Cricetulus griseus: one gene and its partner. The protein of the gene in region 1 binds, or shares a complex with, the protein of each later gene. Links are inferred from orthologs where the notes say so. Each region holds a gene or a part of one and is shown in the gene's direction. Other genes may lie near its edges.

The links.
Region 2: Lrrc23 (region 1) and Dydc1 share a complex: the UniProt entries of both Homo sapiens proteins name them as parts of the axonemal radial spoke complex. The link is inferred for Cricetulus griseus from reciprocal best matches to the Homo sapiens genes LRRC23 and DYDC1.

Annotation. Positions count from the first base shown.
Region 1 is NC_048601.1:21,627,253-21,631,525, forward strand, and holds the start of Lrrc23 (leucine-rich repeat-containing protein 23), read left to right. Parts: upstream 1-1,357; 5' UTR 1,358-1,393; coding exon 1,394-1,519; intron 1,520-1,602; coding exon 1,603-1,712; intron 1,713-2,131; coding exon 2,132-2,385; intron 2,386-4,273. UniProt on the Homo sapiens protein: Essential for sperm motility and male fertility. Plays an important role in the proper assembly of the third radial spoke (RS3) head and the bridge structure between RS2 and RS3 in the sperm flagella.
Region 2 is NW_023276807.1:179,045,068-179,049,501, reverse strand, and holds the start of Dydc1 (DPY30 domain-containing protein 1), read left to right. Parts: upstream 1-1,429; coding exon 1,430-1,576; intron 1,577-2,021; coding exon 2,022-2,123; intron 2,124-4,434. UniProt on the Homo sapiens protein: Functions as part of axonemal radial spoke complexes that play an important part in the motility of sperm and cilia. Plays a crucial role during acrosome biogenesis.

The DNA of each region.
Region 1 (4,273 bases):
AAACAGAGCAACAGCAAAACCCCAGAGGAATCAGTAGACTCCCACCAATTGTTAAGGATAGTTTATTCTACAGATTCATACGCAAATGCTAGCAAGCTGTGAATCTGCCGAAACTCCAAGCTGGGCCTTTAATTTTATTTTTTTAGATTTATTATTGTATGTGTATGAGCATTTGCCTGCATATATGTCTGTGCACCACGTGAGTGCCTGGTGCACTTGGAAATCAGAAGAGGGCATCAGATCTCCCCGGAGAAGGCGTTACAGATGGTGTGGGAATGACGTGGGTGCTGAGAACCCTCAAAGGGCAGACACTGCTGAGCCATCTCTCCGGTACCTACAAGCCTGTCTTAAGCCTGAGCTTCTGTTCAGTCAGGCCACCCACCTTCCAAGGCCTACCAGAAAATAACCAATGAGCCGAACCTGAGCAGCGATAGATCCCACTCACCACTCAACCAAACAAACCCCCTTTGCTTCTTAGGGATGGATAGTCTTAAAGCACAATACCTTTGCGCCGGACATCTGGTCCCTTTAAGGACATAATGGCCAGCCCCGCCTCCCTCCCACTTTTCTGCAAGGCTGTTATAAGTGGACCATTGTTTTATGTCCTCGGACAATTAACCGCGTGACACTCTTCTTGCCTCCTCCAGGTTCGTGGGATTGGGAATTTGGCCTCGTAACTTGGCAACCACTGAACTACCCGCCGAAGGTGACTGTAGGGGGCGTTGGGGTTTGTGCTTTACGGTTGGGTTACTCTGAGTTCTTAACGGTAGCTGGCTGCAAAGCCAAGCGTCCCCGCCCCGTTGCCATAACAACAGTATACAGCCCGGAGTACCCCACCCCCACTCCGCCCCCGATGCGTCTTCCAAAAAGCAGTCCTGGCCTCTCAGCACCAAGATCCTCTCCATAACTACTCTAGAGGAAGAGAACCAGGGTCTGCGCCTCCCTCCAAAGGCGAATTGGGTTGGAGACTGTGCGTCTGCGCAATGGTGTTAAACAGAGCGATCTATCGCATCAGAAGCAATGAGTGGAGCAGGGGTTGGGGGTGGAAGGGAACCTGGAGGTGAGGTGTAGGTGGGGAGATTTTAGGAAGACGTGTAGAACTCTATCAGAGGGAATTCAGGAAGCAGGGACACTGGGTTGCTGGGACAGAGTTGGAGCCACTGTGAAGGCAGGAAAGGGCCAGGGGTATGGGAAGGTGTCCTGTAGGGAGTGGGGTCCTCCAAGCAGAGGTTGGGAGTCCAGAGATGTTCTCCGGGACGAGGGACGATGCACAGGCCGGGGGTCAGCAGTCACGAGGCTGTACAGGAGGATTTGGTGGCGTGGGAACTTAACGTCTCCTTTCTCAGCACCAGGACTGAATTTCATCTGACTCAAGAGGGCAGAGGGGAGAAAGATGTCGGATGAAGATGATCTGGATGACATTGAGCCAGACCAGGATGACCTGGAAAAAGAGGATGATGACAAGGAGACGGAGGAGTGGGATGACTACAAAAAGGAGGGGGAGGAAGTTTCCGAGGAAGTGAGAGCCTGGAGGAGGGGCCCTGGGGCTCTGGGGCTCGAGGGGAGTTGTAAAGTGACGCCTTTACTGCCCGCCTCTTGCAGTGGATGCCCACACCCCTCACGGAGGCCATGATGAAGGAAGGGCTGTCTTTACTCTGCAAGACTGGCAATGGACTGGCTCACGCTTATATTAAGCTGGAGGTTAAAGACAGGTGAGGACGGAGAAACTGGAGCACCACGAGCCTCCCTTCTCTCGTTCCTGAATGTTTTGACCAGAGCTTGTCTCTCCGATCTGATCTCATGGGAAGAGAAGGATGAAAAGATGCCCTCAGTGTCCATGATCTTGTTGCTCCTTGTACATGCTAGACAAGCATTCCCCACCACACACACTAAGCTATGTCTCCAAGCTAGGCAGAGACTCCGCAATGAGGGTTTGTCTAGCATTGTACAAGGCCCTGGTTTTCATCTCTGCACTGAAAAACAAGAACAAAACTCCACCTGCCTCCTTTTCCCCCCTCCCACTCCGTCATCCCGTTGATAAGCTGTCTCTGTTGCCCTCTGGAGAGCACCTTTTCCAGATCTTGCTGGGTTCTTATCCTTTCTGGTGGCGCCGCCCCTTGCTGTCTCCTAGGGACCTCACAGACATCTACCTGTTGCGCTCCTACATTCACCTTCGCTATGTGGACATTTCTGAGAATCACCTTACAGACCTGTCGCCGCTCAACTCTCTCACCCACCTCCTGTGGCTCAAGGCTGATGGGAACCAGTTTCGGAGTGCTCGGCTGAACGAACTGCCCTACCTGCAGATTGCCAGTTTTTCCTACAACCAGATCACGGACACTGAAGGCATCTTTCATCCCCGTCTAGGAAGCCTGGATCTCAAAGGTGGGTCCTTGGGAAGAGATACACAGAACTTTCCTTCTGAGCATGGGGCTGACAGAAGTAGGCAGTATGGTGGGAGGAGACAGGAGCTCAGTGTAGCCTGGGGTTTGGTGGAGACAGATGCAGTCTGAGGACAGGAACGCCCCTTTGATCTGAGCATTGGTAGAGGTGAGAACTCTCTAGTGGCTGGCTGCTCTGCTTCTGTGATCTTTGGGCAAGCTTTATTTGTTAGATCATAAACAGAATATCACCACATTTCCTCTTTTTTTTGTCTAAAATATCACCACAGTATAGGACTCCTGGCTGAGCCACATAGCTATCTATGGATTCATTCATTTATTTGTTAGGATATGCGCAGTACTGGGGATATAATTCAGTATTAATGCCTTGCCTATGCTGGCTGTTGGTGGCTCACACCTTTAATCCCAGCACTCAGGGGGCAGAGGCAGGTGGATCTCTGTGAGTTCCAGGCCAGCCTGGTCTACAGAGAGAGTTCCAGGACAACCTCCAAAGCAATACAGAGAAACCCTGTCTCGAAAAACCAAAAAAAAAAAAAAAAAAAAAAAAAAAAAAAAAAAAAAAAAGCCTTGCCTATACTTATATGAGGACTGGACTTATTATAGTTCACTACAATATTATTTTTTAATTTTATTTTTAATTACATGGGTATGAATATGTACAGGTGTCTTCAGAAACCTGAAGAAAGTGTCAGGTCTCCTGTGATCTGCCTGATCTGGTTGCTGGGAACTGAACCCAGGTCCTCTGGAAGACCAACCAGTGCTCTTAACCACTGAACCGTCTCTCCAGCCTCTCCTTATTTTTATGCCAATTCTTCATGCTAGAGATACAGCAATGAGCAAAACCAAAAATCTCTATTCTTATGTAGAGTCCATTCTGGTTTAGGGTGATGGACAATTAACAATGATCATAATAAGTAATTATAAGCCAGGCTTGGTGGCTGGCAACTCTAATTCCTACATGCTGGAGGCCAAAGCAAGATTGCTAGAGTTCAAGGCCAGTCTGGGCTTCATAGGGAGTTACCGGTCAGTTTGGCCTACAGAGTGGGACCCTGTCTAAAAAAATAAAACAGAAAAACATAACTCAAAAAGGATATAAATTCTATTGAAAAATAGATTGGGGGAAATGCCATTGTGAAAGGCACAGGTAACAATCTCTCTCTCTCTCTCTCTCTCTCTCTCTCTCTCTCTCTCTCTCTCTGTGTGTGTGTGTGTGTGTGTGTGTGTGTGTTACAAAGGATTGAACTAGGGCCTTGTGCATGCCAGGCAAGCACTCTCCCACTAAACCATATCCCCAGTTCAATTACAACTTGTTTTTGTTTTTCGAGGCAGGGTTTCTCTGTGGCTTTGGAAGCTGTCCTGGAACTAGCTCTTGTAGACCAGGCTGGTCTCGAACTCACAGAGATCCACCTGCCTCTGCCTCCCGAGTGCTGGGACTAAAGGTGTGTGCCACCACTGGCCCACTCAATTATAACCTTTTAATATTATTATTTAGTAAGATTTTTAAAGGTTTATTTATGCATTTTATGTATGAGTGCTTTGTCTGCATGTACACCTACACTCCAGAAGACAGCATTGGATCCTGTTATAAATAGTTGTAAGTCATTATTTGGTTGCTAGGAATGGAACTCAGAACCTCTGGAAGAGCAGTCAGTAGTTTGAGTCACTGAACCATCTCTCCAGCCTCGACTTACTTTTAATTTTGAGATAGGGTCTCATAAGTTTCCCAAGTTTGCCTTGAACTCACTCACCCCATAGTAGCCCAGGAAGGCCTTAGATTTATGAGTCTGCCACTTCAGGTTCTTAGGTAAGTGGAACTGTAGGACTGAACCACTAGGTCCAGCACAGATGACAATTTCAAACTGGTTGTTTAG
Region 2 (4,434 bases), on another chromosome or scaffold:
GGTAGTCTGTAGGTCTAAATGCAGATGTTTAGAAGGCAACTGACAGACAGATTACATACGTTTAACAAAGCAATATTAGTAAACTTCTCACTGGAACATATATTCTTACCGTAGCTTCTGTGGGCAATCCCAATAAATACACTGGGTTACAATTCTGAGCTTGAGTAGAATCATATGTTCAGTCTTTTATCCTTCTGGGGTAAATAGAAATAGTCAACCCAGAAGGAGCCATGCAACAATGTTCATATCTGAAAAGACTGGGAAACAGCTGGGAGTGGGCACAAACTTGCTCAGTGCTGTTAGCCCTGTGACCAAAATACTCCTTGGGAACCTAGAGGGGTCTGTCTTCTAGAAGAAAGACAAGCATAGGTGCATGGTATGCCTACATGCATGCATGTTCTCTCTCTCTCTCTCTCTCATCTCAGGCAGCATGATGAAGGCTGTATGAACTACTTGAAGCAGGAGGAACCTTCTTGTACTGGTTGAAAAAACTCTTAGAGCTAGAGCTGGTCTGTACCTTGAAGGTGAGGAGCCATGTTCCAACAATAGAGGGAGGATCGTGGAGTTGGAAAAGTGCAGGGTGTGTTGTGTAGAATGGCAGAATATTTGGTAGAGTAAGGGCCTAGGGTGGATGATGACAGGCAGGTGCTTGAGGTAAGCCTAAAGTTTATGGCTAGATTATGAGTAATTGCATGCTGTTTATTGGAATCTGAATTTGTATTCTCTGGCTTTGACAATACATGATTTTTCAGAAGAGATGGACAGTTTGTGATGTTTTATGGAAGTACATAGCAGAAGCATCTTAGAGTCAATAGACTTAAGGTTCTGAGGTCAGGCAGTGGGTACAAACCATACATTCACATGCCAGTCAAGTGCTCTGGACTGTTCACTAAAGCTCTTTGAGTTTGCTTCCCTGTCTGACCATTGCCTGAGATGTTGTGGGCATTAACTGGCACCAGCATTACTTGGCACAATGTGATGAATAACACTAGTGCCCATTTCTGACCCTGGGACTAAACAAGAACTGTCAGGATGTAGTAGCTATTTTCACTATGACTTCTGCAGAGACCTTTTGTAGACCATTTGGAGTTTCCTTGGGCCAGCCTGCTTATTTCATCCTTAATAAGAAATACCCATGACTAGTGACAGAGTGGAATGTTCCGGTAGCCATATATATATATATATGGACAGGGTTTCTCTGGGTACTCTCTGTAGACCTGGAACTCTCTCTGTAGACCAAGAACTCTCTCTATAGACCAAGGTGGCCTTAAGTTCAGAGATCTGCCTGCCCCTACTTGCCTCCATAGTTCAGGGATTATAGATGAATTCCACCACTGCTTAGCTTGACTTTACTTTTAACTCTGCCTATTCAGAACACTTTTGGCTCTAATGAAAAACTTTTATAGATCATTTTATTTAGGAATTAAAAATGGAGTCATCATATCTTCAAAAGTGCCTGGGGACATGCCTGACTCAAGGTCTCGCTGAAGTGGCAAGAGTCCGCCCATTGGATCCAATAGAATATTTAGCCTTGTGGATTTATAAGTACAAGCAAAATGTGATCATGGAGCAATTGGTAAATATGGATCTCCTTTCAGGAAATTAGAAGAGCATGATAATTGGTTCATCTTGTTTACATTTTATGTTCAATATTGTTTTTCCATTACAATAATGTTTATTATATGAAAACTTTGGACAGTATGTGAATGCAGAGAGGAGAGAAAACAGAAAGAAGGCTTCTGTTTTGATTTTAAGTATTTTCAACCCAGTAGTGTCTTTTCCTGACATGTTTGTCTGTAGATTGGTTTCATTTTTCTTTATATTTGATGTATAATCTTAATTGTGTGTTCTTTGTTTGGCTAAATCATAAAAATCCCCCAAATTGTTGTATAGTTTCCAAATGAATAGAGCATTATGTTCTTAGCCCTTCTTTTATTGCTGGTGGTTGAGATGCCTCTGAGACTGTGTTAACAGATTGGTCTCTAATAAGTTGTGTGCTGTTGCTTTTTACCAATTGCTAGAGACAGAAAGAGATGATTGAGTTGGAGCATGAGAGAGAATTAGCACTGATGGAGCAGGAAATGCTGGAGCGACTCAAAGCTGAGGAACTCTTATTTCAGCAGGTAAGACAAGCACTCAAATATGATGGAAGTTAACAGTGTCACCCTTGGTGTGCTACAACCCACATCTGGAAATACTCCCAGGCTCTGGTCATTCAGACATTGCTCCCTAGTATCCCCATCCTTTTTTTTTTTTTTTTTTTTTTTTTTTTTTTTTTTTTTTTTTTTTTTGTGAAGAGACAGTGCCACGAGGAAACAGAACAATTCAGAGAATAGTCAACAGCACCACTGCTGAGCTGGTGCTCATTTATAGCCCAGGCAGTCTCTCCAGGAACAGTGGTGAGTGTGAGGTGTAGAGGGTAAGAAGGGGGATGGTGAGTGAGCATTATGCTTTAACGGGGTTTGTGAGGGGAAGGGAAATGGGTTTTATTTTGATTCAGGAACACATGGAACACGTAATAGAAAAATCGAAAAAACCATCTAAAACCTTCTATCCACTGTAAAAAGAGGCAATGGGCCTGGAAAACAAGTGGATGAACCTTTCTGTTATTGCAGCTCAGAGACAAAGCATAGGTGGCTAGGTGTAGGTGGGTGTATTGGCTTGTGACACAAAGTTGAAAGCTGACTTGGTGTGACTTTATGAGGTAAGAATCAACCAGGACCATATACTTAAGAATCAAGTGATGAGGTAGGAGGGATGGAAAGAATGATGAAGGTCTGAAATAATACCTTAGGAGGATGGAAGGGTAGGTTGTACATCCCTGACCTAAAAAAAAAAGAAACCCAAAACAAGAAATATTTCTAAATATGTAACTTTTTGCGTGCTTACATGGTGTCAAGGAATGGAAAATTACACATCGTTAAACTTTGTTTCACATAGCAAAATGATAAAATGTGGTATTTGATTACTTTCAGTTAGAAGATAAAATATAACTGAATTTCATGTTGTCTTGGGTACCTTACCTGAGTCATCTTACTACAGTCTTAAGCATTTCTGAAACAAGTATGATGTAGTATTTGGAGGCCAAGCATCTGTAGTAGTGCTGCCCACTTGGACCTGTCCTCCTCTACAGCTAGATCTGTCTCTACTGAAGAGAAGCAGGGAGTCTCAGCTGTTCTTCTTTCCCAAGACAATGAGTTCACTATGGGGATATACTTCACAGCCTTTGATGCGTCTACTTCATTCTACTGGAATAAAATTTTAGTTACACTAGAAATTCAACATTTTCATAGCTGTGTTAGCCAGCAAAGCTAATCTTCTGCATGTTGAACCCAAAGCATTTCATTTGCAGGGGGTGTGGAATGTAGGATGACATTCTACAAGAGATGTTATGGTTAGTTAAAGAAGTGGATGGGTGGGCAGAAGTAGATAAGAGAAGGAGAGCTGAACCAACAGAAAAGGGCTTAACAGGGAGTGTGTTGAGATGAGAAGTAGCAGATCATTCTTTTTCTCTTGCTCCCTGAAGTGTTTGAGTTGGAGGCTGAGGATTTGGCTTCTTCCTCGAGGTCATTTACAACTCAGCACTGATGGGTTTCCAAGAGTAATTCATGGACACCTTTGCAGCATCCTCTCCTAAACAAAAGCCAGAGAAAAAGCTGGGCAGGTGGTACACACTTACAATCCCTGTTCTGGGAAGGCAGAGGGAGGAGATCTTAAGTTCTGGCCTAGCCTAGGTTACATAGTGAGACTGTCAAAAATTAAATAGAGTAAGCAAACAAAACTCAACAAAAGCTGAGAGAAAATGCTCAAAAGCATTTGACTTGTTTTTAGTTGACAGCTGATATTGTTCCTAGTGTCAACAAATTGATCAGTGACTAAAAACAAACAAACACAAAAACAAACAAAAATAAAAGAGACATGACTGCTCCTAGGTATGGTGGAGGAGAAAGTTTACGGGGAGAGTATAGCCAGAGGCAGGTACATCAGAGTCCAGAGTGAACATGATCCTGAGCTGGGTCACATGAGGAGAGGGACAAGGGGAGAGCCGGGAGAGTAGAGAGTAAACAAAAAGGGTTTGGTAACCAATATGTCTGGGTTATATAGACAAGGGCATCTGGGGAAAGGGCACCCCAACCCCTGGGCTGGAAAAGTTTAGGAAGTGGGCTATGTCAGCCATACCCTGTAACAGTTAGGGACTGAGGAATACTAGGATAATGTAGTGGCCAGGTCCACTTTGATATGTTAGCAATTGTCCCAGGTTTGAGACCTGACATCCAGCTTTCTTACTAATAGTTTAAGAATAAAACAAAACAAAACAAACAAACAAATTTTGCAGGGTGACACATTTCTTTGAGCATGTAAATCAACACTATTTAAATTAACTCACGCTGGCAAATATCATTCCTTGCCTTGAGAACAAATGAATTCCTTAGA